Styela clava: one gene and its partners. The main gene of each other region encodes a partner of the protein of the gene in region 3 in a complex. Links are inferred from orthologs where the notes say so. Each region holds a gene or a part of one and is shown on either strand. Other genes may lie near its edges. The genes, in order: dynein regulatory complex subunit 5-like, dynein regulatory complex subunit 4-like and dynein regulatory complex protein 1-like.

Region 1 (10,759 bases), on a different chromosome or scaffold from region 3:
AACTGATGAAGAATTTGCTTTGAGTATGCATCTCATACAACTGAAAGTTGATGGGCACGATCTTCCTGACAAATTACCAGAACATTTAATTCCGCCTAGTCAAAGAAGTAAGTCCCAATAAGCCTTCGTGTGAGGTTTCCTTATACAATTTTTGCTGAAATTATCAGTTGTATTCTCTGACAGAATATAATTCCATTTATCAATATTTTGAAATTTGTAATTCAATTTATCATGGTGTTTCATCTTGCATGAATAATGTAAGCGGGGTTCGTGAAATTTGAACATTTTGAGGTAGTGTTGATGGTTCTTGCTCTGGTGATTCCCCAACACTGTGATATAATTCGCGTTTTGTTATTACATTATCGGTGAAACAACAATTTCGAATTCCTGGGACATCAATATTTTAAATTACCTATATATGCCAAATAGGATTGAAATTTTTATACTTTTATTGTTGACTTGAACAATGTTCATTTCATGCATGCTTTTTATCATATTAAATATGGCACCGACTCAAAATGCTTTCACATACATTTTCGAAGTTTTAAACATTTTTGATCACTTCCTACTGTGTGTCACAGTTTTCAAATCTCTATCACTTCATAGGAAAAACTTAATATTGTGATTGGGCAGTAATGAAATAATATTGGGCTTGTTAATTCTTTAGTCTTTGTTAATCCTGTCATAGTATCACTTTTAAAGATTCTGATAAATGCAATATACAGTTTTGGTATCTTTCAAATTTGGCTCGATTTTGATCGTCTATTCTGTTTTGTTTGATTAATAATTTGATCTATTGAAAAACGATGGCCATGATTTACCTTCGAGCTTTTTGATCGGAATCCTTCAAACACCTTGGTGAATGCTAAGCCATCAGACTTGCACTAAGAATGCTTCACACTAATGTGTTTTGAATCACTTCTTTCTAATTGTTTGCTGTTAACATTTTTGCATGGTTTGATTCAGCAACAAATCCATTTTGATCAACTTGTATGAAGAATATGTGATGCTTGCGAACTCTTGAGACAACAGGTACAACGAACATGAAGTCTTGAATATGTTATTGTAGCATAGTTTCTTGCTCAGTAATAGTTTCAAGAAAAAAACAAACAGCTGTGCTGTCTGTTTTTATGGAAGAATAAAGAAATGTATCTATGTTCAGTACTCAGAAAAAAATGTATGGTGATTGGTGAAAATGTATTACAATCTGAATCACTCATAAAATTGCCTTTCATTGCATGCTTCTTTGATGACAATATCGTTCTATATTGAATATTTTGCTATGCCAATCCCTTGGGAGTGTATTGGGCTGATGGTGTTTTGAAACCACATTGTTCCGCTTTTTCTGGGTTTGTCATGATCTTGCTCAGTAATAGTTTCAAGAAAAAAAAAAACAGCTGTGCTGTCTGTTTATATGGAAGAATAAAGAAATGTGACTATGTTCAGTACTGAGAAAAAAAAAGTATGGTGATTGGTGAAAATATATTACAATCTAAATCACTCGTAAAATCGCTTGCCTTTCATTGCACGCTTCTTTGATGACAATATCATTCTATATTGAATATTTTGCTATGCCAATCCTTTGGGAGTGTATTGGGCTGATGACGACTTGAAACCACATTGTTCCGCTTTTTCTTATCGATCCAATAGCAGTCTAACTAGTGGTGATATCTCAGAACTAACAAAATTGATAATTATTCACCCATTCTCTCTATTGATGTTATTATGTTGATTTATAACAATTGTTATTCTGACATCAACGAAAGCAGTGTTCTCCCAAACTTTTTCGTCATGACCCATTTTTTTTTTTGCTCTTCATGAACTAAAATAAAAATGAAGTAGATTTTAATGCAGAAAAATTAAAAATATAAAATAAACTGAGAATACTATTATTGTGCTTGCATATTTTCGAACAGAAGACCGAAATTAGTAGTGTCAAAAAAGATTAATTCGACTCCCAGCGTGCTTTTTCACAACCCATGGGAGATCGAGACCCCCAGTTTGGAGAGTACTAGGCATGTGTGTTGGTATGTTTCCTGATTGCTTTTATACATGCTTTTAGCACTGGCTCATTTTGAATGCACATATTGATATTCACACCTATTGCCAATGCTATCTACTTTCAATCTTATATTAATGATAATATTGGCATTGCAGAACCGAATGGAGAAATATAATTTCAATCAGATCATTAAATTTCATTATCTCTCGTTACGACATCATTGTTCAAATTTTGGATCACCTTGTTATCAGAAGAAACTACACAAAATACAACCATATGGACCTTCAATAATGGCTTGTTACTGGGATGAAAATATGTTCATAGCTGAGAGCTGACGCTTTTATAAAGCCTGAATATTTGGCAAACTTAAATTTTCTTTGGATTTTTTGATGAATGTACTTTTTTGTGCTTCATGCAGATTTATTTGGTTTAAATAGTGTATAAAATAGCAGTGTAATTTGTCTTCACTTAAGACAAAAGCCATCTTCCATATTTCAATCCAATGATGGCAACTGTCCAAGCAAATGCACGTGAACATGTTCTTATTTTTTTATTGAGAATGTTGATCCGGTAGACAAAAATGTAATTATTTTATTTCTTTCTCCATTTTTTTCATTAACTTCAAGTCTAATATCTCTAAATGTATATTATACCTTTATTTTAGCATTTACTTATTATATACTATATTACTGTCGTACTGTTCATAACCAAGTTTGGTGTCTTAACATTAAAATTAAATCGATTCTATCCTATGATCTGTTTATAATATTCAATGACTTTCAGCTTTTATCAAGAACTAAAAAAAATTCAAACTTTGGTGCTGCTTTGTATCTAATTTTCCGATCTCCCATTGGCATATTTTGTATGAAAGCAGTTTTTAAAAAACTTTACAACTCAAAATCTCTTGTCTTGCTTTATTAAAATGATTTTCAGACATTTAAATACTTTCTTCAAAAGTCCGAATCTTTTTCATTCATACTTTTCATGCAGTATATTTTTCTTTTGAGGGGATGATACTGAAACAGTTGTATGAAACAAATTAGTAGCAAAACTGTCACTCTAAACGGTGTCATAAAAATAGAATTAACTAGATTTAAATTGCTAAAAATAACTTTGTAGATAGAGCATGATTTTATCAAATATTTTTATTTTCCCGTTTTTATTGTATACTGCTCAAAAAATGAAACAATTAGTTGTTTATTTTTTGGTAATTTTCTTCCATGACGGCATTAATCTGGGAGATTGAAGATTTGGAAAATCAAAGAAAAACATTCTCGAACAAATTAATATTATTGTATTTGTTCAAGTTTCACCTAATATAAATTCTGAATCATTAACTGGAGTTCATCATATTCAACGATTATATCATCAGTCAAAAAGAATGTTTTTATTCTGAAGATTTTGCTTGTGATATTTTTGGGCAGCTTTCAGCCCATTTTTGGATGATACTACCTTGGTAGGAAGTCAATCATTTGTCATGCATTTTTTAAATTATTTATCGCTCTAATTGCAATTTATTCCACCAGGAACGATTCAAGTTTAATAAAAATATTCTGGATTTACTTTCTCTTGACAGTCCGCGGAAGTCAAAAGACTGCAAATTTTTTCACAACCACATATTTTTATGTGCTGTTCACTTTTGTTTGCCACCTGTCATATTTAAGTTATATGCATGGTGTATAATTAACTCGTGTCTTTTAAAATGTCTCCAGCTCAAGTTGAATTGTCAAATGAATGGTGAACCAGGAATGCCTTTTGTACTTGTTGCTGCTTAAAATGTTTCGTGACTGCTGATGCATGTTATGCTTAGTAAAATAAAGCCGTCCCACGTTTCTGACTCGAATTTTGTGTTTGGGGTATTGTAGTTTGGAAAGGATGCTACTCTGTAAAGTTTTCATCTTTAATTAAATTTGATATTTTAAAAGTCTGCTAGCTTACCCAAGCTAGTGGCCTCAAATCCGTTATAAAACTAGGTATGCAAGCCATTAATTCAATTCGTTTATTACTCCAGACCGCTGTGGTCCATATAAAAACAACACAACAAATAAACATAAGCAAACAAAAATAACGCAATAAATACATAAAATACCTGATATGACAATCAGATTCACAGTAAGTCTCAAAAAAGAGTTATAATATAGCAATTCAAGAGACCAAAAGTGAGGTATAGAATCTAAGGTAGCCCGTGACAATCTGTAAAATGTTTTGTCTAATGAGAATATTTTATCAATGTACAGTGCAAAAATCAATATCAAAAAATGAGAAAATTTGAAATAATATTTATGTACAATTCTAAAAACAGTCGGCTGTAATAGAACTGCCGCTGAAAGTTTGTGGTCGTTAACCCACGGAAAGCCAGAAAAAGATGTGGCATCAAATTCTGCCTGATAATAGATCCGCCTTTCGTCATATTTATATAGTTTTATCATTTGAAATGTCATTAAATTTTGTTTACTTGCATATTATTGATAAAAAATGAATTTTCAAATCGGTGTTTCGGTATGGAAAATAGATTTCGATGGAATTCGCTGTAACAAGCAGATACGTTGCCATGGTTACTAGCTCGCGTTGTTTAGCAGTTGTGGTTTTTGTCTCCGCCAGTGCTTTTTGGAAAGGTGATGGCTTTGTTTCTAAAAGCGTAAAACCTGTTCCTGTAGTTATTATATACGTTTCGTTTTTATACTCGTTTGAGAAACGGTTACCGGAACTGATAATCAACATGGTCGTTAAAGACAGAAGATCCAATGTTAAAAAAGATTCTTTGCAACCTTCAGCAGCACCCACGATTCCCAATGATACAAAGGTTTTAAGAAGAATAATTGCAGAAGATCCTGATTGGTCATTAGCAACAGTACCTCTTTTGAAAGATTTAGTGATAAACCATATTGTTGACAATTTTGAAAGTAAGGACTTGTCTAACTGTTTAAATACACTGTTCTGCTGATTGGTAAAAAGCATGTCATATCGTGAGACCACTGTCACACTGCTGGCTCAGATAAGTTTGGGCTATATATCAGATTATTATTTACATGGAAAATAATGTACTCTAATAAAAATAACCTCCATTTAATGTAATTCCTATTAAACATATTCAAAACTGAATTAAAATGATAATAACAACAGCTTTAGCGTATTTATGTATGTTACATTTTTCCAGAAAATCCAATACTGAAAGAACTTCATCCAAAAGATAAAAACAAAGTTCTTGATAAAATTGCACCAAAAATAGATATCATTGTAACAGCTCACTTGGTTGAAGATGAATCCTATTGGAAAAGATGTTGTAAAGCTAAGTAAGTTGCGCCAAAAAAGTTTAAATAATAGATAAATAGAACTCATACCCGTATCAGGTTAGACAAATATTTGAAAATTCCAAGTATTTCGTTTCTCTGGATCTTTTACATGTGAAGTTAGTGTCTTGTTATAACCTGCTCAGCGATTGACAGACCACACTAAATCCTGTGCGGATAGTGATAATGAAGTGAGAGAGTATTGCACACATCCCACCATCATAAGGTGGTTTTACATCCGGTGGCCAGTTACACCTTCCTTCCCCAGTGAAACAACTATCAGGTTAACTATTCCCATACTTGGCATGAAATGGTAATTGGTTGAGAGTCCAATGCCATGCAATTAGGTGCCATTAACTTTCCCCAAGATAGATATGAGAATCCTCTCCTGATTTGATCAAAGTTCAAACATAATTTTGTAGATACCACATATGTGACGTCACCAATTATGGTGGAAGCTGGAAAAGGATGTTTTTTGAAAGATATATGCAAGATGTTGTGGAAAATTTTGTACCAGAGAAAACTAGCGATGATGTAGTTACAAACGCCATTCCCCTATGCTCGAAATATGTCAAAAGATTAGACATCAAACAACTTCTTCCTCCTGTAAAAGAACCAACGAAACCCGGAGTTCAAGAGGAAGAAGCATCAGATATGGGAAGTGATGCAGGAACGGAAAGTCCTGAAATGGACCACTTTGAATTTGGAGAACTTCTGGAGAAACTTCCGAATTTGGAAGAATTCAAAGTAACTTATGGCGTGCGAGATTGTGGAATGAACTTTGAATGGAATCTTTTTCAATTCACACAACGAGATTGTCTTCTAGTTGCAAAAGCACTGCGATCCTGCACATGGTTGAAAAAAATATGTGTTCATAAAAGCAAGGTAGATGACGCAAAAGTGCGAGTTTTAGTTAGCAATCTTCTCGATCATCCTTGCCTCACTAATCTGGATCTTTCACATAATTGCATCGGTGATAAGGGTGCAAGAGGAATCGCAAAACTTATTAACAACAGGTGAATTGCTAATTTGTATATTATCGAGCTTACTTTAATTAGAGTAATATCATTGAAAATTGTTTTAAATATGTTGCAGATGCCCAAACCTCACTTCAATTACCCTTTGTGATAACATCATAAGACAAGAAGGAGCAAAAGCAATTGCATATTCCATCACAAAAAATTCAAAATTGAAGGCTCTCAACCTGAGATTGAACAGGTTAGTGTCAATCACACACTTGCACATAATTTTTTTTTTTTTAATTTCTTATATGGACATATTGCGTGGTACCATCATACACATATTGTTTCCATTGCCACGGTTACGATTATACCTAACCAGATTTAGGTTAAAAAATCAATTCTAAAAGTATTCATTTCATGCATTATAATTGCCATCAAATAGGTTTTGTTTGTCCGCCACTCATTGGATATAGTAAATTCTTCAATAGTTTCTAATCTCCAATTTGAGACACATAATAACAATTTGAGAATGCAAATGTTTTGTTCATCTGTTTGATGAAGAGTAACTAATTTTTTTACAAATTTAGGCTCATTCAGTGTCAATTTAATAATATATATCGGTTATTCCGTTTTGGAAATCCCAGGTTCAATTCATAATGAAAAACCATTCACATTAACAGAATGGGTGATGTTGGTGGTCAGGCCATTGCAAAAGCACTTTTGAACAACAACACATTAGAAGATATCAACTTATCATGTAACGACTTGACTGAACCATCAGCTGCTGTTTTCTCTCAAGTTCTCATATCTAACACTGCATTAACAACAATAAGTCTTTCAGGAAACAGAATTGGGCCAGTAAGTTGAAGTTGTAATGAAACTTATTCCAGCAGATGGGGATTTACTCTAATTGATGTGAGTCTCAACCATTCCACATTCTCTCTGCCAGGCAAAGCTAACATTTTTGACTTTGCCACCAATTACACACATCAGCTTTGCTAAATTTAAAATGGCAGAGATTTTATCGATGCCATATATTGTTTTGGCCCTCACAAATGTAACTTGGACAATTACTGATTAAAAAACAACAACCCTGGTCAAAATATATTTAGAACTGACTTCGTAACAAAATTGAAATTTTAAGGGGACTTTATGGACACCATGTATATTCTAAAATTGAGTCATGTTTAACAGAATCTATCGGTCAGGAATGCAGTTAAGATATTAGGTTTATATTGGCTCAAAATGATGATTTTGCCAAATAAAACAATTTAAATGAATATTCAATTCATTTTGGACATCATTGTCCCTATGTTTCTGAAATATCTTGATGCACGTTTGCTTGTCAAATTATAGGATGGTGGCAAGCAACTTCAAGAAGGCATGGAAGAGAACAGCACAATCACAGAGTTGGATTTGCGATTGACAGAATCTGGTCAGGAAAGTGAGTATTGTATCCAACAAGTTCTCAAAGAGAACCAAGAAAAAGCAAGATTAAAGGAATTAGAGAGAATTCCTTCAGCATCTACAGTCGCCACATAAAGAAACTAGTTTTGTGTTTATTTTATTGTGTTTACATCTGTCTAATATTATTGTACAATTGAATAAATTTTTAACCTGTTATGGTTTGTTAACAATTCACTGTAAGATTAAGGTAGATTTTTTTGCAAGTTCAAATTTTATTTTGCATGTTCAACTGCTAAAATTAGAAGAATTAAAACATAAATGAAATCATGGAACATAGTATCATGCTCAATAACAAACACAGCTACTGGCTTTAGTTTGACAATTCATTCAAACCTGATTTTCTCGCCCTGTTTTATCCTTGCTTGCATTGATCCATTATAAAAATCTTGAGCTGCTAATGGCTTACCATAAACTAATTTTGTTATTCCCACAAATGTATCCTTACATCTTACATAAATTGTTTTGGATTTCTTGTCAAAATGAACATCTCCCGGTATAGTTTTTTCAACCAAGCCTTGAGGAATTTCTTCCATGTCTAGTCTTGTCATTTTTTGTAATTTAACCCCTTTTTCTTGGTAATTCGTCCGTAATACAAAGTCTTTGTTAAATCCAAATGCCTTATACTTCCTATAAATTTCTTCTGCAGTTTGTGCCTCCCACGAAATATTGGAATGTCCAGTAGTTATTTTAGGTGCATATGAGATCTCGCCAGTTTGCTCTTTGGCATTTTCCAAATACAATTCAATATTTCCAAGACATTTGAGTAAGCATTTTGATGCAATATCTTCCAGAGCAATTCCAAGATCTTCTGAAGTCCACTCTTGTTTCACTTTTATTACTTCACTCTGTGCTAATATGCGCCCATGGTCAAATTTGCCAGACTTAATCTCCATGACAGTGATTCCAGCATTTCTATCACCATTCATTATAGTGTGTGCTAATGGTGAAGCACCTCTCCATTTTGGTAATATACTTCCATGTACATTTATCATTCCAAATTTGTAAGACTTGATGACTTTCTTAGGTAATAATTTCCCGAATGATACAACTACACCAATATCGTACTTGCAGTCTCTCGGAAACTCTGGATATGTAAATATAGGGATTTTTTCTTTGTCCGCAAATATTTTAACAGGTAATTTGCTCTGCTTCTCAGGTAAGCAGACAACCCCTAGTTTATCCACAGCTTTACCAGATTCAGCTGACAGTTTTGAGTTATTGTGAAGTGATTTTAGACATGCCTTAGAAAACACATCACTGCCAAAAAACAGCACTGATAATCTTCTGTATCTAATGGGAAATAAATTATGCCATTGTACATTGCTATGATTAAGAATTACTCTTGTTGTCTTTCTCAGCATCTTCTATTTCCCGCTTTTCCATTAGATAAGATGTCAGTTTCTGTTGTTCTTCTAATTCAAGTCTATTTTGTTCTCGTCTTTTTATTCCCTCTTCTTGTCGCAGTTTGTCTTCCAACAAACCTTCTTGCAGTCTCTGAAGTACAATGAAGGATTTATGGAAGGGCTGAATGTGAACTAATTTTTCCAAACGCCAAACCCGCATAATGTTGCTTGGAATTGACAGTGAACCATTTGACCAGGCTTTTTAAAACTCTGTCATTAGGAGTAATGGATAGGCCATCTGGGCAACACAAGGCAAAACAAGTGAACTCTCTCTCTCGATTAGAATATACTCCGCGAACAAAAGATTGGTGCTACTAGTACTAGCACCACAGGGAATGAAGCCTTTTTAAAAAGATTCATTGGATTAACATGTTTGGGATAACTCTTACCAGATAATTTGATAACTTTATCATGCTATTTCATAATCTACCAAAATTAAAAAATTCTGTAAAATAAATAAGTAGTGATACACAGCAGCACAGCTATTTTAACATTGGGACAGGATCAGTTACGTATTAATATATCCGACGAGTGACAGAGTCAAAATTGTACCAAAGTTAACCAGCCCTTATTACATTGATTTCTCTTTCTTATTTCATCACCTCATCGGGGTTCCCAACACTTTTTACACCGCAGAATGAATCTTAGTTTTAACGGACCCCCCTCCTATGTCGTATCAATTTATGTGCCAAACCATCGAGGAAGGATAAGGTTTCACAAACTAACGTTCAATACTGGCAGCAATTCGATAAGATCATGATCTATTTGTATATGCTCCAGAGTTCAGAGAAATAACTCTTTCAAATCATTTTATATTGATGTAGAATATTCAATATTTGGGGATGAATTATTATTAAATATCTTTATCATAAACTGGAAATATTATCCTAAATAGGGAGTATCATACTATCGATTTTATTTTAATAAATCTGAATGTAATAAAATAATTCTAAAATAAATGCCAACAGGCAGGGTGGAAAATTTGGAAAATGTCAGTTAAAACAAGGAGACATAAAAGTCCTACATAGGTAATCCAATCTTGTGACAGGGAATATAAGTGGAAAAATGGACGAAATTCTCTTGATCAAGTTTTAGGCTGGGGAGAATCGTAATAATAGATAAATATAAGTGAAAAAGCATGATGGCTTTATTTTTGTTCAAGTACACAATGTTTCAAACAAAATAGACTGAGGTTATTTTCTCATTTGTGTGAGTATGGGTGAATGTGTACAAGCCTTGTATAAAGCACTTGTTAAAAACCTTTTTCTAGGTTTTGACTATTTTCCGATCTTTCCGTCGCCCTTGTCTGTTCTTGTTTTTCGTGTTCTGTATTTTAGACCAGAGTTCGAAATAAAATTGTATCGCATTGTACGACAAAACAGTGAAATAAATGGCTGCAGAATACACGGGCGTGATAGCAAAATAAGAAACACACAAACAGGTAAAGGGATAAACAAAATACAAACCTCTTTGTTTCTTTTTTGGTCGTAGTGAACGTATCCAATAACTGATGAAGTGAAGGTGATAGAAGCGGCAAGAGTTGATTTGGCAGCGAACGACATGACGATTTACGGCATGATCCGTAGCAGTCAGTGATAATCAGTAAATGAAACGATGCGTAAAGGTATAGGAAAA
Region 2 (10,759 bases), about 13 Mb from region 3:
GATTTCTTGGAAGAGAGGGTTATGCTGGGCTCCTAGTCATCGTAGACTAGACTAAATACAATATGAAAGAAATATAATAATAGAAGTCGGTAAGACGTTTTATTCATTTTCGCCCAAAAATTGTCCGTGATCGCATGGAGGTTTACTCCAAGTCCTTAAAACTAAAAACTATTCCGTTATCTTATAGCCGTCTTATCATTCCGCGGATTGATGCGAGAGGAATTCTAACCTTTGTAGTCAAACATGGCCATGGTGTCTGAAATCCTCTGAGTCGATCATGTTTGCTGATGACACTAACTTGATTCTTCATGGGGAAAACCTTGAAGATCTATTCACAGTTGCAAACCAAGAACTAACCAACATTCATAGCTGGATGTTAGTTAATAAATTATCTCTGAATGCTAACAAAACTAAATTTGTATTATTCCATCCAAGCAAGCATAAAAGTGTGAGTTGTTCAAAAAAACTACTGCTCAATGGCAATGAAATTGAAAGAGTGAAAGAAATAAAATTTCTAGGAGTTATCTTTGATGAAAATCTGTCATGGAAATCACAAATAATGCATGTTATTGCTAAAACAAAAAGAAACCTAGCAGTTTCTGCCAAAGTATCCCAGTGTGTTGACCAATCAGCTCTACTAGCAATGTTTCAATCATTACTACTTAGCCATATTCGATATTGTTGTTCAGTCTGGCTTCATGGTAATAAAACACTTGTCTCAAAACTGCAGAGTATTTGTAATAATTTTTTAAGAATAGTTTTTGGTAAAAGAAAACGTGAAAGTGTAGACTCTTACTTCAAATCACTAAATATACTTAAGGTTGAAGATATGATGAAATTTGAAATATTATCTCTAGCTCACGACTTCATAATAATGCGCTGCCCAATTGCTTTAATGACATACTTGTCAAAAATACCTCCAACCGAAGAAGTAGTTCTGATTTATTCGTACCTTTCATGAGTAAATCCGTGAGTCAGCATTCCTTGTCTTTTACTGGACCCAAACTTTGGAATTCTCTTCCCTTAAATTTGAAGACGTTAAAGTCCAAAAAATCTTTTCAAAAACAAGTCAAGTCTCATTTAGTTTCCAAATATTAAATATTAAAAATTACTACTGGTGGTATTCGATGACAAAAACTTGGGACACTCCACACTTGCACATTATTGTTTTAATGAAAATGTTGAACAGCTATAATAATACTGTGCCACGACTATAATAATATCTTGCCACGACTTGGCCAGAACTAGTCCAGCACCAAAGAAATGGTATTGTGACATGCATGAGTATATATATATTTTTTTAAATATACAGGTAGCTAACGTACTCAGATGATATTTTCTTTAAATAACTGCACGCATTCTATCACTTCACGCTCGTGTTTTTATCTTTTTCTAGCTGTGATGTCCCTATCATACACGCTTGGTCTTATGTTTGAGTGGTGGTATAAGGGTTGTAGATAGTACAATATTGTTCCTGCAAGGTTACTAATTATTGCAACTAGGCGAGCAGTAGAGCTATGTTGGATTCTCCCCTTCAGATTTTAATTTGCTGTGGGTCATTGTAATTGGATGTGGTTTTTATATCATTTATGTATGCATGCGTTTTATGTTAAGGCATGGTGTTTGAGTTGACTTGTTGGCCAAGGTATAGATAGTAAAATTTTGTGTGTTTTTTGCATGGTGTGATAAATTTTTCTCTGTCCCAAGCAGAATGTCATCATAGATCATCTATCCATCGCTATATAATGACAATACATCCCATTTAATTAAACAATTATTTTTTGCCTGTAATAAATAGTTCAGAGCGTTCCCCTTCACCCAATCATTGAAACATCTACTCGCAGTTTTATTTTTTGTTTTTCAGGTTACTTCAAAGTGATTAAATGAAGTAAAACACATAAGGAAAAAAACAAAAAAGACTCCCGATATCCTGTGAAATAACAACCTCATTCCCATATCCTTGTCTGAAATCAATACCCAAGAATGAAAAACCTCACTTACACCCTTTGTAACCAATTTATTTCCACATCCTACTTTACTTAATTATAGTAATTTTACTGTTACCGGTAACTTAATTACTTATTACAATCTGGACTATAATTTGGCAATAATAGGCTCTAATTTGGGGAATGAAATGGTCTCGCCCACCTCTTCATGCACCCAATTCTGGCAACTTTGGTTGGGCAACTTGGCATTTGACTCCAACTATAATCAGCTTGGCAATATGTTTTCAATAGAATCTTCCTTTTATATACCTAATTAACGATTAGAAGATCGATCAATTTGGCAATGGCAACCATTACAAAAATATCAATATGGTGTGGCAGATAATTTTCTTTTCTAGTATTTATTTATTTATTTTTTTGCTTACTGTATAGTATACCCTAAATTTATCGCGTTTCATTCTTACTTAAATAACTTCTCAGTGGTTGTGTGTGTGTGTGGCTGGTGGGTGCATGTGAGCGTGTGTGAAATAACTTGATAATTTTAGGTGAGTAAACACGTACCACTTCCTCTTGGCAAAACCTTTCATCTTATATTTTGTACGTTATAAACCTTATCTAAGGTTTTGTTTGCTCCCCTGATTTCATAATCAGATTTTATTTATTTGTTTTATCTGTCAAATGTATTGTTATGCTGATTATGGAGTCGAAATAAACTTATACTTATACTTATATACTTATACATCTTAAATCAAATAACGATATTACGATCGAGAGAATGTCGGGCGTTTTTTTAATTCTCTCCTTATTTATATAAAATATTTCGATTCACCTACCTCGTCGCGTCGATGGTGTAACGGTTAGCATTGTTGCCTTCCAAGCAATAGTTCCGGGTTCGACTCCCGGTCGACGCACTTTTCTCTATCTGTCCCATTTTTGAATAAGTTTTAAGCATTCGGTTACCGAAGCAAAAATGCTTTTATTATTGAACAAGATATTGAACTCGAACTAATTGACCTATGGGTGGCAGTTGGAGGTATTTGACGCACACAAACTTTTGTAAAGTCTTGTTTTTCTGACGTTATTTTTACGTGTATATTTCAATTTTGTTTTCAATTCCGTTAGATGATAGATAATGATTTATTTTCCGAATATATCAAAAAATGTAAAATTACAATAAATGGAAAAGAACAATTATAGAATATAATCGGGAGGGGACGGGCGAGACTGCAAGGTCAACTATGGCCACCGACCCCTAAAAAAAGAGAAATTCCTATTATGACAAGACATTCGGGAGTCATGAGAAAACAAAGGCTGTGTATAGATTATTACCTCGATTAATCACAATGATTATTTATTTGATGGGTTACACGTAACATTTCCAAAGATATAATAATATAAGAAGGGGGTACGGCGTTACGTTATACACTTTTGTGTTGTGTTTGCATTGATTCTTGCATGATAAAAATAATTTATCTGAATCTTTCGCATGTAGTTATTTTTCAACTTGCATTTCATATCATATTTGCTTTTTTAGTCAATATATTGCATTTTATGAGAAATTGACCGTCGTGAGATATTTTAATTTGTTTTTATTTATGTTAGTTAACTTATAAATTTATTGAATATCGTAACGAGGGTTCGTCTTTTAGTGATATTTTTGTTTTCAGACAATATTTAACAATTATTTTATATTATGAGGGAAGAAATGATCCCAAATTGATTTTATGAAAAAGCGAGCACGCCAGGATTCGAACCTGGAATCTTCTGATCCGTAGTCAGACGCGTTATCCATTGCGCCACGCGCCCGCACGGCTCCGAGTCACAGAAATTGTATATACATTTTACGGCTCGCTGACCTTTTTTTTGAACTTGTTTGTTCACATTAGTTTTTTTGTATTAGATTGCACTCTTATATTACGTAAAACATTTTTTATAACATGTATTACATGTCTATTTAATTCCAATCCTTGTAATTTTATTTTTTAAAACTCATTTTCGTTCATTGTTGAGAGATATCATGCGTGAAATATCACTCACGTAAATACGAAAATTACCATAGTAACACCGAGAGAAAATTTGATTTCCGTGCTTGTTCGCCTTGCTTTACTTTTTTGGTGTTGCCTTCCAAGTTTTCCCGTCTGGTTGCATTTCGAACGGCAAATCTTCATAATGGTAAGTGTCATATAAGTTTTAGTGTTATATAACTTTATTTCAAAATCTTGGTTATGAATAACCGACTATTTTCAACTCTGGAGCTTAGGAAGCCATTGATTTGGCGGCTCTAGCACCGGGACAATGGGGGAGTTTTTTAATTATCCCTGTTTTAATCTTATCATTTCTTAGAAATTCTACTTTTTTTGTCTAAATGACTAGGGTTGGAATTTGTTTAAAATAATAAATCTGTAAATACTCCCCAGATAAAAATACTACTTGATGCCTCTTTTTTCGGGATCTTCGGCGTGGCGGTGTGGCTCATCGTGCTAATCGTTAGGAATACGCTCGCCACCGCACCTCTAATTACTCTGCGAATCCCAGGCGGGGGGAGGGCTATGTGCGAGAGGATTGCTGGACTCTCGCCGCTGTAGGGTGGTTCACGTAACCGCTGGTCTGTTACGACTTCCTCCACCATCAAGTCCATGCTTCCGAAAACAAATAACTAACTAATCCCATACCCGACATGGAATGGTAATCGGACGAGAGGCCGTGGTTTGCCATATGGTTAAGCTGTATTATCGGCTTTCCTCTCCCCCGGGATAAATATGTAAATCCTATCCTATCTTATTCTGTCTCATTGAAGTCAAAGATGAAGCCACATTCTTGATTTTTCATAGTGTGATGGTCCAACCCAAAATTTCTGGAGTAAGGAGTTTGAAATGAAAAGTAAATTAAATTACTAGAATTAAAAATCAAGCAATCTCTACCCATAAAATCATTGAATAAAGCCTAGTATTAAATTTATGTACTGTAGTTGGCTATTTTCTAATTGTTTCATGCTTTTGCAGCCTCCCAAAAAAGGGAAGAAGGGAAAAAAGGGCAAAAAATCTGCGAAAAAGCCCAAAACCCCGACCGTCGTAGATGGAATGTCAACTGAAGAAATGTCAAAGGAGCAGGTATGTTCTATAAAGTAATGTTTAAACCAGTTTCAAATCTAAATTTTGAAACATAGTTGTATCGCTATGAACTAGGGGTGTGCAAACTTTAAAGAGGAGTGCCAGATATTATTAATACCCCAGTATAACCGGGGGTCGCACCTTTATTTAACATAGGCTTTCTAGTAGTTTTGGTAATTGATCTTATGACATGTGTTGTTTGCTTCTCATGAGCTAGCTGTTAGGGTATTATAACCTCATAGGCATAGATCAGCCGTTCCCAAAAGGTGCAGCGAGTGGCTAAATTCGCCGCGAAAATTAACGGAATTGTGTTAAACATTACTAAAATATGTTTGCATTTTTTAAATGTTCTATAAATGTCCTATTGTTTCTTATTTTAAATGCTGTGTGTATCAATCAATGAATTCATTTTACCCTTCTATGTCGCTTACTTTCTGTTACGTATTTGCCTCAAATGTCACGTAACACTTCAACAACAAGACGTGGCTGACCAGTCATCAGAATGTGCGAAATTACGATGGCGATATCAAAATAAATGGTTCCTTAATTTCCAAGCCCATTGGCTTCTTAAACTTGGGTGGGTGCATTTGCAAAGCTTTGTTTTGAGTGACTGTATGAGACATGAATCACTTAAAACTAATCGGTTAGGCAGTAATTGAAAGTTATACACAAGCAGATGCTATATACTAATCCATGATACTGAACTACCCGTATATATTTGCTGAATGTTCTTTCCCATTGTTTAAATTTTATACTTCTCAATAGTTTTTTTATTTTTTATTTATTAATAAAAACATCACTTTTTATCCACACGATCCACTTCTCAATAGTTGGAGGAGCACATTGGTCGACTTCGTGAAGAATTGGAAAGAGAGAGAGAGGAAAGGAATTATTTTCAACTTGAGAGAGATAAGGTTTGTTTTGATTGTTATTGCGCAATAATTACTAATTATGAGTCAATAACAATGGATTTCCTTGTGTTAAATCTTTATTTTAAAAGAAAATGTGAAAAATTAAAATTAAAAGTGAAATCACTTAGATGTAAATGAGACTCAATTTGGACCAAATTCATGGGCGACCTCTGAAATACAAAAGATATTGTGATAGATATCATAAAATTTTCTTGACTTCATTTTTTAGACGATTGAATTTTTTGATAAATGGTGACTCGTGACTCCACAACACTGGTAATTAATGTTGCAAATTTTTCTTCTTAAAAACAAAGTATATAATAAAGTAAGGGTTATAATAATTAATCAAATTTTTCAAAAATTTTCTTTCAGGTCAACACATTCTGGGAAATCACAAAGCGACAATTGGAAGAGAAGAAAGCTGAATTGAGAAATAAAGATCGAGAAATGGAAGATTCAGAAGAAAGACATCAAATTGAAATTAAAGTTTGTCTCATTTGTATATACTGGGATATAATTCTATATTCATCATTATAAAGGACGACCTATCTATATGGTGAACCAGTCCTTCATCTATTTGTATGTCTGCCTGTTGTATTTTTTGCCGTAATATGCCATGCAAAATTGAGCCACTTGTGAAAATAGTCGAATTGAGAGTAAATGTAAAGTTTGTTTTTAACCTACATAATCAGCATAACAGACAAAAAATAGTTACAAAAAAATATACAAACTGGTTACAAAATCAGAAGAGCAAACAAAACCTTAGGCAAGGTGAAAACAGGTTTAAAACGAAATTCAAATAAAAAGATGTTGTCATAAAGTTATAATATTAAGTCCTACACACATATGACCACAGAGATATAAGGAATTTAGAGATGATGGGCTCTGCATATTTTATTGAAATCATAAAACGGTTGAACATTAATAAAATAAGTTTTAGGGATTCCTGATATGGCAAATATTATTGTCATAAAAGTCTATAAAATTCTAAATTAGTTTTTATTCATGCATTTGTCATTGTCGTGTGGGCTTTGCTCCAAATTTTAATACCAGACTAATCCATCTATGTTGTCTTATTTGATCTTGTGTATCCCAGGTATACAAGCAAAAAGTCAAACATCTTCTGTACGAGCATCAGAACAACATTTCAGAATTGAAAGCAGAGAGTTCGGTGGCTTTGAAGTTATCGCAGGAAGATCACAGGTTACAGGAGACAGACCTCAGAAAAGATAAAAGGTCATTGAAGGTCAATTTGAAAGAACAGGAATTATCTCATGAGGAATCTGTGAAGAATCTTGTGAAGGTATGAGACTAACTTTTCATTATTTTGTTCAATGAAAACTATTCATTTTACATGGTAATTTTAAATATATTTTGATTGTGGACTTTTCTCAGATTCATTACAAGCTCAATTTTAATTACTTATTGACAAATTTGAATATATGAAAGGTAAATTACCTAGAAATACCTAACACAAGTAATAATACCGCACTAGCAAAGGACAGTAATTTGGTGGGGGGTTGGCAATATTATTCCCTGTGTAGGTACAGATCTAAGCTATATTGATTTTGCCATCAAAAATAGGTCTTTTGTCAAATAGCTGTAAATTTTGAGTTGCTTTTTAAAAACATTGCTGTGCAACATTTTTTACCCAACATTTTTCACTTCCCTATGCATCATTATTTTTATACTATTTTCATGATATCAGTTATGTTTTTGACCTTTGATGTGTAACGATATGTCAATTAATAGGAGTTTGCAATGTGTTGCAACTGTAGGATTGTGGGTACTAGGTACCTGGGTAGTCTGTTTTAATTTAATTTTCTAAGCCGATCTCCTCTAGTATTGTTATGAATGTTATATATTTTCATAGTATCCAAATATCTCAATTTCTTTTCCCGTCCTCAACCTAGAAACAAGACGAACACATCACTCAGTTGAGAGAAGATTTCGAAAGACAAGCAAGAGGTATGCGGTGTCAACTTTTGGCTTGATACTGTGTTTCCCCGAAAATAAGACCTAACCCGGTCTTTTTTAAATGGAAACATGTTATTTATAAGTAAATTGACACCAGTTTTCCAATTTTGTATACCGAATTTCTCGTTTTGTAGCCCGGGCCCAGTTTGAGAACCATGGTGTTACGTAATCAATGCTATCTGTTCTGTAGGCCTACTTGGACGCCCAAGGTGTTAGTGTTATCTACCGGCGCTTAAAATTCAACAGCGTTGTGACAAAAGCGCTTCTTATTTCCTATTGTTCTCTACCACTGAAAAAAACATCACCCAAAAATAAGCCCTAGTGTCAATTTTCGAAAGAAAATCGAAATATGACTTATTTTTAGGAAACATGGTAGTTGCCGCATTGTACCATTAAATTAGAAACACACAAACCATAATTTTACATTGTGACAATACACAGGTGAAAAAGCTTTTTTTTCCGTAATTATAAGTAAATAGTGCTGGAAAAATAGCTATTCAATTGAAACAATGGTCTTCTTTCTTTACAAATTCAGAAATTGAATCAAAATATGAGCGCAAGATGCGTGTACTTCGGGACGAACTTGAACTTCGACGAAAGACAGAAATTCATGAAATTGAAGAGCGAAAGAATGGCCAGATAAATGCACTCATGCGAAACCACGAGAAAGCATTCTCCGATATCAAAAATTATTACAACGACATCACACTCAACAATCTGGCTCTCATCAATTCATTAAAGGTAAGAAGCTTTGGTTATGATTCCTAGAAATGTCAATTCAAGCGATTTAACCCCAAAATGCAAGACTTGAAACTGCTTTTAGAAAATGAGGAGAACGGATTTTGAAACTCCTGAAATTTTTATTAAAATACTTCTGTGTATATTGAGGGATAACGAATCATAATTATAGTCGAATACATTCAAAATTTGGATACTCCAGTATTGTGTGTGTACCAGCTTAGGATTAGGCCATAATTTTATTTCGATTTATCATATTTTAGTTTTATTACGAGTTCGGGACTATCTGTGTTAGCCAAGTGAATACACCTATTGCTAATCATTGCCTGATGTTGGTCATCCGACCTACCACCGGTTGCCATTATTGAGAACCCGAATTAATGTTTGAAACCCTTTGGTTGAAAACTTGAGAATTTTGGTATTAACGTTAATATCATTGAAAACTTCACAAATTATGTTTGGAGACTTGAAATCGTTTGAATTTTGAAGCACGTTTGAAAACTTTTATGTCGCGTCTTTTGATAGCCCGGAATCTATATCGACGAGACACAATGAAAACGTATCGAACGCGCCACTCTCAGCCCCTTTGTCCACAAACAAGACACGTGCATAAATCACTTCTTTATATTCTTGGCAAAGAACAGCACGATGCACTGCATACAGTGGCAAAATATACGACAAACGTACGTTTACAACGTAACACCCTGCCCATAAGCTTCAGTCCCTTTACACAACTCGATGTGAAGTAGGTGAACAAAATTAATTACCTCCATACTGGTACACACACCTCTGGAGCGCTCGAAATTGTATAATAAATCCCTCAAATATCTAATTTTCCTGTTTCCAATTCCAGGAGCAAATTGAAGAAATGAAAAAGAAAGAAGAAAGACTGGAGAAAGAAATGGCAGAAATACAACTCCAGAACAAACGTTTGACTGAGCCTTTACAAAAAGCTCGTGAAGAAGTCGATGATCTGAGAAAACAACTTGCTAATTATAAGAAGGATAAAGCTTCATTGGCAGTAAGTATTAGGAGAGGCTCTGGGTCAATATGACTCATACTCAGCTAACTGCCTGTAAGAATCAGCTCAGTGATTGACAGGACTCTAATAACTCATGAAATGCCTCAACAATGTTCTAGGGAACAAGTCATCGGCTTGTTTTGAGCAGGACATGAGCGGCACGGACACAATATGGCGCATCATGCTAAGCATTAGGAATACCACTGTACCTCTGATTACTTTGCGTGGGTTCGCAGGTTCTAATATTCCCATGTGGGGATAATTATATATGAGAGGATAGCTGGGCCTATCGCCTCTGCAGGGTGGTTCAGATAACTTCTGGTCGGTTACGGTTTCTTCCACCATCAAGTTCATTCATCTGAAAAAAAATAACTAGACAACTAATCCAATACCCGACAGGGACTGGTCACCGAACTCGACGCTGTGGTTCGCCATATGATTTATTCTCTTTCCTCAGGATAAATATCTAAATGTCCATTGCTTGCATGCGGATCCACCTAGAAACATATATAAGTATAGTATAATTAGTTGTTCCTAAAAATATTAAATTGGCAGTAAGTTATCGCTTTTTGCTGATTTATGATTGTCGTCTGATGATTGGCATATCTTGCTAAGTGATTGGCATATCTTGCTAAGTTTCCTATAAGCTTCAATCTTTTATGAATTCTGTATAATATTCTTCATTCGGTCCATCAAATTGTTTATTTTTTACAGAGTGCTAAAGCCAGACTCCGTTTGATGGAGAAAGAAATGAAATCTCTACAATGGGAACATGAAGTTCTGGAGCAAAGATTTGAGAAGGTAGAATTTTATTGCAGCCACAACCACAAGGAGGCGCTATGGGGCTGTCTATCAGTTGCAAACTTATTGTATGTCAAAGGTTGCTGTGGTGATTTAGCGTGTACCGATATATGCTTAGACGCTTCGATTCCGACTAAGTATCTCTTTGTTATTGCTATTGGTGTAATGCTTCAATTATTAACTTTACAATGAAATGTGTTATCCATTAAAGATCTTCCAGCATTAATTTTCGAAAAAAAAAACTACCCATGTCAC
Region 3 (10,700 bases):
AAAATATGAACTGAAATTGTATGTAATGAAAAATTAATACATGAAATGAGTGACATTTTTGCTCTGAACAAGGTCATAGAAAAGTAGTTACAGACCTGGCTGGGCAGTAAGCGTTAGGAATACGCTCGCCCTGTACCTCCTATTACCCTGTGTTCGCAGGTTCGAATCCCATGCGGAGATATACCCCACATGGACTGGTAACTGGACAAGAGTTCGTGGTTTGCTGATTTCCTCTCCCCCGGAATAAATAGGTATGGTATGTAAATCCCAATCTATCTTTGTCGCACTGGATGAATGATGAGTATAGCATAGGGCTTAAAATTGAGCTATAGAACATATGACTTAATCATACTTAATAACAATGCACTAACAGAAATTGCATCTCATATAACCAACAACTTAAAAAATTCATAAAAAGTTAACTACAGTTAATTTCATTTTCACTGCAGATGAAACTAAATCACATACGCTTACCGTGTCTTCATCAATTAATCTGAAGTCCAAATACACGAGATGTGAGAGATAAGCGACAGTAAATAACCTATATCCTGGATCATCACATACGGGACAACCAGATAAATTCAATGTCCGTAAATTAGTGAAACGACGCAAGTAGATGAGCTGAAATAACATAATTCATAAAGGCTATACTTCAATATAATGTTGAGGAGACTCAAGCAGAGTCAATGACTAATGCACTGTTGTTCATGGAATACACTACAAATCGGGACAATAGCAATTTGACTGAATTTGTGACTTGACGTACAGTGACTTTAAATGGAACTCGAAGTTTAAATTTTGATGGACTTCGGATGACTCGGACCCTCAATTCAATCATTTTTGATTAAATATTGGGAAGTATTTGTTATAACTGATGTAGAAAATGCACAATCAGGGTTCCTCAAACTGGGCCCCCGCTTCATGTTAAAGTCAGAACTAGAAGAGCACGAGGTCACCGAAGGTCTTTGGAAGGATGCCACAAATCATAAACATTTGAAAAACACTGATTTAAATATTAGTTCCTTTCTAAAAGAAATACCAAATGAGCAAAAAAAATGAAAATTGCTCATTGAATCAACTTGAGTCTGATTACTGTATAATTCAAGGCGATTCACATGAATACTTCTTACATTGTCAAGCTGATTAAGCTTGTTATTTCCCACAGAAAGTACATGTAGATTTTTGAGGGAATCCATGTTTTCTAGTCGAGATATTCTGTTGCTGTACAAAGTCAGATCTTCTAACTTGGTCAATTTTGATAAACCTTCTAGCACTTCTATGTTGTTGAAAGACAAATCTGTAATTCATTGTATTTGAAATCAATATACAGTAATTAAAATTATATTTGAATACAAAAATAGGTTTACCAATTTATGATTGAAGCTTCTACTTCATGGTGAATTTAACTTTTTCAACTGTTATGTCAAAAAATTCCTTTCATTGTAAAATTTTTCTGACCTAAAGTCCTCCCCCCCTTCAAGATAATAAATGAATAAATAATAAAAAAGCAACGTAACTTGAGTTACATATGTCATTAAAACAATGATGGCAGGGAACACTAGAAAGAAGGATAGAAATAACATCTTATGATAAAATAAAGAGAGTATCATACCTAGCCATACTAAATTGACCAATTGATCTAATCCTTCAATTTTCTCAATAATATTGTCATCCAATTGTAATTTTGTCAGCTTTGTGAATTGCCAAAGATTATCAATCTTCAATATATCTGTAAATAAGTAAAAATAAAATGATGATACAAATTAAACAGAGCAGATAACTTATCCATTGCATTTATCACAAATGGGCATCAGTAATAAAGTTTTCTAATATTTGACCAAACTATCAAGAGCCATATTATTTAAGCTTTTATGGATTTAGCAAATGAGAAAAATAACTGCAAGATCTATGGAAAGATTGTAAATGAAAACTTGAGAGATAATTTAGACTGAAATTGACAGGTCAGAATATGAGTAGAAGGCTTCTACTTCATAAAATTATATTTACTAACACGTGTCAATCCTAACCCCTACCTGACAACACCATCCAAAAATGACGTCACTACGGCGTCACAGTGACGTAATAGAGCCCTTCAAACTATACGAACTGTCACCCAAGACGCGCAGAAGAGAACCCGAAATCGGACAGCTATTTCCCTCGTTTTTTCGCCGCAGCGATCCTGATAGGAGAGAGATCGCTGACGTTAGTCAGTTCTTCATCGTCGGCACCGATGCCATTTCGGGCGATCGGATGTGTGTTTGGCAAGCTCTATGACGTGATTGTGACGTCGTAGTGACGTAATTTTTGGATAGCGAAGTCAGGTGGGGGTTAGGACTGACTTGTAAAAAAATTGTTATGCTACGCCTAGTAGAAGTACAATGGGTACGAAACTACAGGAGACCCCTTTTTTCGAGTTCGGTAACACAACAGAGTGGAGCATGAAAATAGTTGACTCGTACAAACTTGTTAATTGTTTAATATGCACGACTTCCTAACTTCAAGTTTGAAATTTCATTATAATCACCACAAAATATGAATATTGTCCATTTAGCATAATATGTAAGATGTAATTTTTCCTGTTCCCTTCACTTAATAACTTCTATATGGTTGTGTGTGTGGGTGCGTGTGAGCGTGTGTGAAATATTTCAATTATTTTAGGTGAGTGAACACGTACCACATCTTCTTGGCAAAACCTTCCATCTTATATACATTCTGTACGTTTTAAACCTTATCTAGGGTTTTGTTCGCTCTCCTGATTTCATAATCAGTTTTTATTTATTTATTTTTAGCATTCATTTTATTGTTTTGCTGATTATGGAGTCGAAATAAACTTATACTTATTATACTTATAATATACCTAAAGTAAAAATAAAAACTAGCTAGCTAAGTTTTCAAAAAAAATTGTCTGTCATTGTATTTACAGGTTTATTTACCCTTTTTGTGATATATTTCGCCATAACGTTTTTACCACTTACTTCTAAAATCTAGTCTTAATGACAACACGTCTTTGTAATCAATTCCTTCTTGTTTTGCAATTCGACCAGCTTCTTCCTTCGGGCCTTGCTCTTCTACAGCTTTTCTGAGCATTTCATCGTCGATTACCGCAGGTTCAACGGTGTCATAAAGGCGACTCATTTTTGAATCAAATATATTCAAGGAAGGGAGATATGCAGAGGAAACAGAAAATGGAAAATCACGGCGCTAGCCGCTCACTACGAGCACCAAAAAAATAAGTGTTATTTGTTTAGTCTTTGGCAAGCACTTCGCGCTTCTGCGTTGCTATGGATTCGGGCTGTACTTTGCAAACGAAAGGATCCAAATTGTTGGTATAAATGTATTCACATAGATATAAAATACTTTGGATTGAATTTTTTTATGATATTTAAGCAAAAAAGGGATTCAGTATAAAATATCGTGAACAGATTGCCAATTTTTTCGCACCATTGGTTTTTATAATAACCATAGCAACCAGTCAAACGAAGCACTATCATCCAGGCATGACTAGTTGAAAAGGTTGATCGCGATTAGGAATGTAAGCATAGAATAGGTGTTCTATTTTCGAAACAAATTCTGTTTAGTGGTCTGTAGCATCGTGTTTTTGTTGAATTTAATTGCATTCGAACTATAGATAGGTTATTTTATGACTAGATAGCAGGAAATATGACTAGCAGGAAGACTTACCGGTACCGTAACACGGGTCGTCAGGTAAAAGTGAATGCGTCGAAATCGAACGCCTATTTTATTGTAGTCGAGACAAATACTGAAATATGCAGCTATGTAAGCTTTTTTTAAACAATAGCGGGTATAGGATTTTCATTTGATACTGACCGTCAGAGAATTCTCACAAATGTCGCTACTGATATATACAAAATGTGTTATTGTAGTGATTTTCTATAATTCTAAAAGTAGTGAGGTCTGAATGTCTTCCAGTGAGTCATGCCTAAATAGATATAATAGCAGTATCTTGGTCATTTAAAGACATCTTACTTAATTTAATGAGTTTTTGAGTAGTAGAGTAGATGTAGGGTGGTGTAGCCAGTCTGCGGACGATTTCATTCAAACCCCTATAAAACAAAAACCAATATTTCTAACCTGTTAATTTTTTCACCGTAGGTGCATTGGCATTCATTCTACACGCTGAACTTCGAATTAACTTTCTACGACCAGGGGTTAAAGCTATACAAACCACCAAAGTACGACACTCTGAAGACGTATTTGCGACCGAACGACCAGTGTGCGACCACGGATTTCAATCCTTGAACATCGTTTCTGCTGCGTCGAGACTAGATAATACGCAGCCATGCGTGAAAAAATGGGCTTCTAATTGCATTTCTGACCGTCATATATTTTAAGAATACGATTATTTCGAACAAAATTTTTCAAATTATAAACAAACACCGCATCACAGCAATCAAACAGACAAAAACACGGTGGTCGCAAATTAGTTGACAAAGATATTATTGACGTATTGGAAATGCGCACCCCCCTACTCCCCCTCCTTTGAAGGTAGAGACGCGAAACTTTAAAGATGGTTAAAAGAAACACAACTCTACCCACCTTCCAAGTTTCATCTTTTTATCTCTTATATTTGTATGGATTTTCAACCTTTTTTGAAGGAACAATGGGTAGTTGGCGACATGGTAAAATGGTCCGTTTTTTTTCTTCGGTCAGGTTTTCGGTCGTAACTTTTTCATTTATGGCCGCATTTTAGTGTAATTTCGTAGAGCTACGAGGGATAAGTGGACGATAACGCGTGAGAAATATCGGCGCGGTTCGTTAATTTTTTCGGCATTAATTTAATCGATGAAGTTGATGGTCGCAGATAGGTCATGGCCGCAAAGTGGGTAAGCCACCCTAAATGTAAGAATTTAAGAAAACTGAAGGAGACATGTTATTTGATGTTGTGACAACTAGACTTACTTCATCATGACATTGTCTCATTGCCCAATAATTTATTTAATAAAATTGAGCCATATTTTGGAGAATTGCTTCTTACCGATTTGAATTGGATTAAATTGAGTCACTTAGAAATTCAGAAACTCTTGATTGTGATGCACTGAGTGTTTGAAATGGCAGTGACTTTTTGTATAAACAAGGCAAACTAAAATATTCAGGTAACTGAATAAACTTCGGATTAATTTACTGGGTTTAACCCGGTATAAAAGTATCAAATCAATTCTTATAGCTATAGACATTCTCTGAATGACAGAGTAATTCTGATTCTGTGTTTTCTAATTATCACTAAGTAATATATCTTATTTTATGTCTATTTATAGTGTTAAATAGTTTTTGTGATTCATATCATACCACAAATATGTTACATGTTGACGATGGGGACGAAGAAAGTGGGCCTTCGGTTGAATCTGTAAATCCAGAAGAAAGAATCCTTGCTAGGAGGATCCGAATCCAACATAGAATCGAGCAGCTCAAAAGAGAAGCTCTGGGTGACGATGCTCTCATGAAAAAAGAAGTCAAAGAAGAACAAGGAAAGGGAAAAGAACAGATTGAAGAAAGTCGAAAACGCCTGAAAAAACTCCTTGGAGATGGTAATGAACTTGTAACAAATGTACGAGTTGCCGGTGATGCTCGTGAGTCTGGTCATCGAATTGTTGAAGAAGAAGCTAAACGAGCAAGGGTTGAAAAACTTGAAGCAGAAGCAAAGGCATCTGCTGAAAAATTCGATGAAATCAGTAAACGATGGTCAGCAGCTCGCATGAAGGAGATCCCTCAGGATTTACATGATATGTTGAAAGAGCAAACAACAGGTTGTGACGCTGTGATCGATGAAAAAAATAAATTGATAAATATTTTACAACAAGAGTTAAAACAAAAAGATGATGAATATGTCAAAGATTTGAAGAAGCAATCAGAAGATGTTGATCTCATTATTGAAAGAATGGAAGAACAAATTAAAAATCTAACAAAATCACACAGAGAAGAGCTGAGACAAATTGAAGATGCTTACACAGATGGTCGCAGTGATATGAACAAAGCTGATCGACGGAAATGGGATTCAATGATGCAGCAGAGACGAGATAAAGAAGAAGATCACATGAAACTGAGAGAAAAAAGAGTTGAGGAACATGAGCGCCAATTGGATCAACTTCGCACCCAGGATGCTGAAGAATATAACATGGTGAAGATTAAATTAGAAACTGATGTACAAATTCTGGAGCAACAATTGCAACAAATGAAAGCTACATATCAGTTAAATCAAGAAAAATTAGAATACAATTTTCAAGTCTTAAAAAAACGTGATGAGGAAAATACCATCACTAAGTCACAGCAGAAAAGAAAAATTACCAGACTTCAAGATGTCTTGAATAACCTTAGAATCAAGCTAGGAAAGCAGGAACGTTCATACAAAGATGAGAATCAATCACTCGTTGATGACTACAAAAGAATAGCAGAGCAATACAAGGAATTACATAAAAAGATGAAGCACTTCTCAGCAACTGATAACAAAAAATTTCATGATATCTGGTGTATGAATGAAGAAGAAGTACGAAAACTTGTTGATAAAGTTTTGAATACAGACTGCATCATACATCAGCAACAGCTTGGCTTGCCGTGGTCTGCTCCTGATACCGCATTCATGGATTCCCGTGGTCCATTGCTGGCAGCTACAGAAGGAAAGGAAAAATCTGCTTTGATGATGGCCAAAGAAGTTTTGGCATCAGTGGCAAAACCAAAACAGGATGATAGTTTGCCTTTGACATTTGATGATGAAAAGTCTCATTCAAGTACAAAAGTTTCTTTGAGTGCTGTTAAGAAAGTCTTGGAACTATTATGTGATGAGGCTGGATTTCTTGTCGAGGAAAAGTTGAACAAGCTGTTACGTCCCCTTCAAAATGAAGAAAGGTCATTGATCAAGCTGGATGCAATATTTAAAGCTTTAAATATCGAATCAGAGGATGACATCCATAAATTGGCAGCCTTTTTTGCTCAACACAAAGAAAAACTCAGTGACGAAGTGAGTGAATCATCTCTTGATCATGAAGTGTCATCTACTATGGACGGGAAAGAAAATATGCATCCAAATGAAGTTTTAAAGGTTTTGAAACAATTTGTTCAAGAACATATCAAACCTACAGAAAGAAGAAAATCGAAAGGTACAAACAAACTGACTGCACCAGGACGTGATGGCTCGCAAGACGAACAATTTTGGAAGTCAATGGCAAACATCATTCCAGAGCACAAACTGAAGATGTGGGATGCACTGACACAAGCGTTTGACAAGTATCACAAAGTACTCACAGAGAGAGATGTTAAAATAAAAGAAACAGACAGCCTTAGGCAACAGAATGCAGAACTGAGAATGCTACTCCACCAATACATCACTTCCGAAGTCAACAGAGAGCTCGAGATTCCACCAACTCGTGTCCTTCAACTTGAATACAGCTAAAAAACATGTGCTTCTCCTAATATTTTGCTCTTCTTTAACAATATTATTTTGGTTTTGTAGTCACTGTCGATTGTTTTTTCTATATATATATTGTTATCATCAAAACAATTATAAAAATTACCTTCAACAATGCGATGTTCAAATGCAATTCTTTATACCAATGATTTAGTAGTGAATCTTTACTTTAGTAGCTTTATTAACTATTTACCTAACAAAGGAACTACGCCTGAAACACAACCGGGCATAGATTCATTGTGAGGTGAAACTACACCGTAGACGTGTTTCAGCGCATTAGTCATTATATTTTAGTGGTATGTTAGTTGTTGGCTGATACCGATATTAAACGCAGTGGGTACAGCTTGTCCTCAATAAATTTTGAATGTAACACAAAGAATAACTCACGCAGGAGTGAGAGTTTTGAGGGCCGCCTGTTTTTATAATTATTGTTTGTATTCCTTCTGCTATGCTCATCTTATCTACCAAGATTTCATGTTATATTTTGATGTGTAAATTGAGAAAACCACATATGTAATTTATTTTAAAAGTTTGCGTTAGGGAGCGCGAAATACTTAATTAAGAAACATACGTATGGTAGGAAGTAATGTACTGATACAATAGAGATTTGTAAATAATTAGCTTTGAATGTCTTTCTAGACAACTTTTTGTATTTCAAGATTTGATTTTTCAGATAACCTCAGTTCATCGAAGCTGTCGTTCAAACTGTTTCTGATCTAGCAAGCTAATGTTTTGCCAGATAATCATAACTAAAACCAAGGTATTATTATCCGTGCACCTTAATAGTTTTTAATTTTCAACGTTTCGATCGGTATTCAATTGAGTGTTCTTTCGGTGCATTTTGCTTTGTTGGTGACAAAAAATCGTGTCGGTTAGAATGAGTGAATGCCAAAAAGAATGCTTCGGCATGCTGGGTAGGCATCGTCAAGTCATGACACCCACTCTTTGTGATTGCTTCAAATATTGCAGTGAGCGTTTTATCCGTGCATTTTTCTTTGCTGGTGACAAAAAATCGCTGCAAGCATCGGTTAGAATGAATGAATGTCAAAAAACATACTTCGGCATGATGATCGGACATCGGCAAGTCATGACACCCACTCTTTGTGATTGCTGCAAAAATTCCAGGAGAAAGAATTACCAATTGGCTCGACGGTGTGGCGCATCGTGCTAAGCGTTAGGAATACGCTCGCCACCGCATCTTTGGTTAACCTTCGTGGTATCGCAGGTTCGAATCCCATGCGGGGATGATCATGTGCGAGAGGATTGCTGGACTCCTCGCCGCCGTAGGGTGGTTCACGTAACCGCTGGTCGGTTACGGCTTCCCCCACCATCAAGTCCATGCTTCCGAAAAAACAAATACCTGGCTAACTAATCCCATACCCGACCTGGACTGGTAACCGGGCGAGAGGCCGTGGTTCGCCATATCATTAAGCCGTCTTATCGGATTTCCTCTCCTTCGGGATAAATATGTAAATCCTATCCTAATAATAATTATCTGATTTCATTTACCTGTCATATTGATAAACATATTTTAAAAAAATACAGATGTGGATTGTGGACCAAGGTCCACGAAGTTTGCCATGAACTTTAAGTTAATTTTTTTGTTCAACCAGCGAACGTCGAACTGAAAAAGCGCTCTTGAAACAATGTAACACACCACAACTTTCTGAAGACGATAAGTCAACCACCCCAGTCACATCAGATTATTGATGTTTACTTGACGTCAAATATACCTCACATTCCCATGCAGCAAAATTTCAATAGTTGGATAGATACCTGGGTTTACGAAATTCAATACAGAAATATGAAGTTTAGGCTCTAAACTCAATCAGATGACTTTTCCAGATTCATTTTTACTACTATTTGGTGTTAAATGTATTCCAAATAACTAGCGTCTTTTTATTGAGATCTCTAGCCGGAGTCTAAAAGGAGTATTTTTCCGCAATTAAAGTAAATATTTCTCTCTATCCCGGCAGCTCACCCGGTACATCTTCGAGTTAAATTGTGAAACTAACTAATATTATCCGATCGCTTCAAACGGCCAGTAATTGAAAATTTCAAGCAATAGAATTTCCAATCGGTCTGCAAGGGGGCTTTCCAAAATTTTGATGTTACCTTCGACGATGGAAAAGTAGCGACTTTCAGTTTTACACTACAACTGTCGCAAATGATAAAATGGGATAGAATCTTCTGCCGTTGAAATCAACGCCGAGTGGGACCCTGCCAAATATTTATGTCAACTTTGCAATTAAAAAGAGGCCGGCCTTACGACCAATTGAAAAAGGCTCAGGCAAGGATTTGAACGGTTTCAGATATTATGATATGATATTATCAGACCTATGAGAAAGGTCGATGGTCGTGGATAGCAAAATATTTATAAATTCCTCAAGACGAGAAAGAGTGACAATTAGAGATCTACCGATACCACCTTTGTCGCCGATACTGACAAAAACGCCGTTAGCGATGCCGATACAACGATATTACAAAAAGGCCAATATTCCGATGCCGATACTATGCATTTATTACCGCAAATGCGCAGGGCAAACGCGTTAAAACAAGTCTTTGAGCATTATTCATACTACGCATTATTCCAGATTGAAACAGAGATATATCACATCATAAGAAATTGATGTTTGGGATTCAGATGCGTTAATTGATTTAGATGCATTGTGCAGGTATTGTCAATTCTAATTAAATATTAATATCGCGACCTTCGAATATTGTTATTCGTGTTTATCGAATATCGCCCACACATCCTAGCGCCGCCGTCCAGATTTTAATTGAAAGCACTTTACAAATATTTTGTTTTGTGTTTTATCGTAATTGTGCAAATAATTACAACCGACATGAAAGAATTACAATCAGCGCCGACTGGAAGTACCTACAAGCTATAACACGTCGAGGATGTTGCCAACAAGTGCGGGCGCTGTTAATAAGGACCTCGATTCTACAGTATGATTTAAAAATAGACGCCTAGTTGAAATGTCAAAATAGAAAATTTGGCAGCGAAAATAGTCAAATTAGTTGAGTGTTAGGACTGATAGGAATTTAAAAACAGGTCAGAATTTTATTCCCGTCTCGACCCACGGAGGTGGGGACGTGCATGGCTCTTAGTTCACGATTCCTTCATGCAAAAAATAAATATTTAAACATCAGTATTCCAACCTAGTTTTGAAAAATTTTGGATCTTTTCAAAAAGATAAATATATATATCGGTCTTAATTTAGCCGATACCGATACCGAAAAATAGGGCCGATACCGATACATCGGTATATACATC

Evidence for each region.
Region 1: dynein regulatory complex protein 1-like (region 3) and dynein regulatory complex subunit 5-like share a complex: the UniProt entries of both Homo sapiens proteins name them as parts of the nexin-dynein regulatory complex. The link is inferred for Styela clava from reciprocal best matches to the Homo sapiens genes DRC1 and DRC5.
Region 2: dynein regulatory complex protein 1-like (region 3) and dynein regulatory complex subunit 4-like share a complex: the UniProt entries of both Homo sapiens proteins name them as parts of the nexin-dynein regulatory complex. The link is inferred for Styela clava from reciprocal best matches to the Homo sapiens genes DRC1 and DRC4.

What each region holds. Positions count from the first base shown.
Region 1 is NC_135255.1:14,431,420-14,442,178, forward strand, and holds dynein regulatory complex subunit 5-like, read left to right. Parts: upstream 1-4,416; 5' UTR 4,417-4,520; coding exon 4,521-4,905; intron 4,906-5,159; coding exon 5,160-5,295; intron 5,296-5,714; coding exon 5,715-6,308; intron 6,309-6,387; coding exon 6,388-6,510; intron 6,511-6,934; coding exon 6,935-7,112; intron 7,113-7,610; coding exon 7,611-7,796; 3' UTR 7,797-7,875; downstream 7,876-10,759. Other genes in the region: EH domain-containing protein 3-like, read left to right, coding at 1-107, 2,158-2,177; methionyl-tRNA formyltransferase, mitochondrial-like, read right to left, coding at 8,045-9,082. UniProt on the Homo sapiens protein: Component of the nexin-dynein regulatory complex (N-DRC) a key regulator of ciliary/flagellar motility which maintains the alignment and integrity of the distal axoneme and regulates microtubule sliding in motile axonemes.
Region 2 is NC_135262.1:4,089,725-4,100,483, reverse strand, and holds the start of dynein regulatory complex subunit 4-like, read left to right. Parts: upstream 1-3,961; 5' UTR 3,962-4,115; coding exon 4,116-4,118; intron 4,119-4,948; coding exon 4,949-5,056; intron 5,057-5,886; coding exon 5,887-5,970; intron 5,971-6,339; coding exon 6,340-6,453; intron 6,454-7,063; coding exon 7,064-7,270; intron 7,271-7,880; coding exon 7,881-7,935; intron 7,936-8,479; coding exon 8,480-8,685; intron 8,686-9,535; coding exon 9,536-9,703; intron 9,704-10,417; coding exon 10,418-10,504; intron 10,505-10,759. UniProt on the Homo sapiens protein: Component of the nexin-dynein regulatory complex (N-DRC), a key regulator of ciliary/flagellar motility which maintains the alignment and integrity of the distal axoneme and regulates microtubule sliding in motile axonemes.
Region 3 is NC_135262.1:17,138,915-17,149,614, forward strand, and holds dynein regulatory complex protein 1-like, read left to right. Parts: upstream 1-5,245; 5' UTR 5,246-5,314; coding exon 5,315-7,405; 3' UTR 7,406-7,540; downstream 7,541-10,700. Other genes in the region: dynein regulatory complex subunit 3-like, read right to left, coding at 475-621, 1,131-1,297, 1,613-1,729, 2,976-3,135. UniProt on the Homo sapiens protein: Component of the nexin-dynein regulatory complex (N-DRC) a key regulator of ciliary/flagellar motility which maintains the alignment and integrity of the distal axoneme and regulates microtubule sliding in motile axonemes.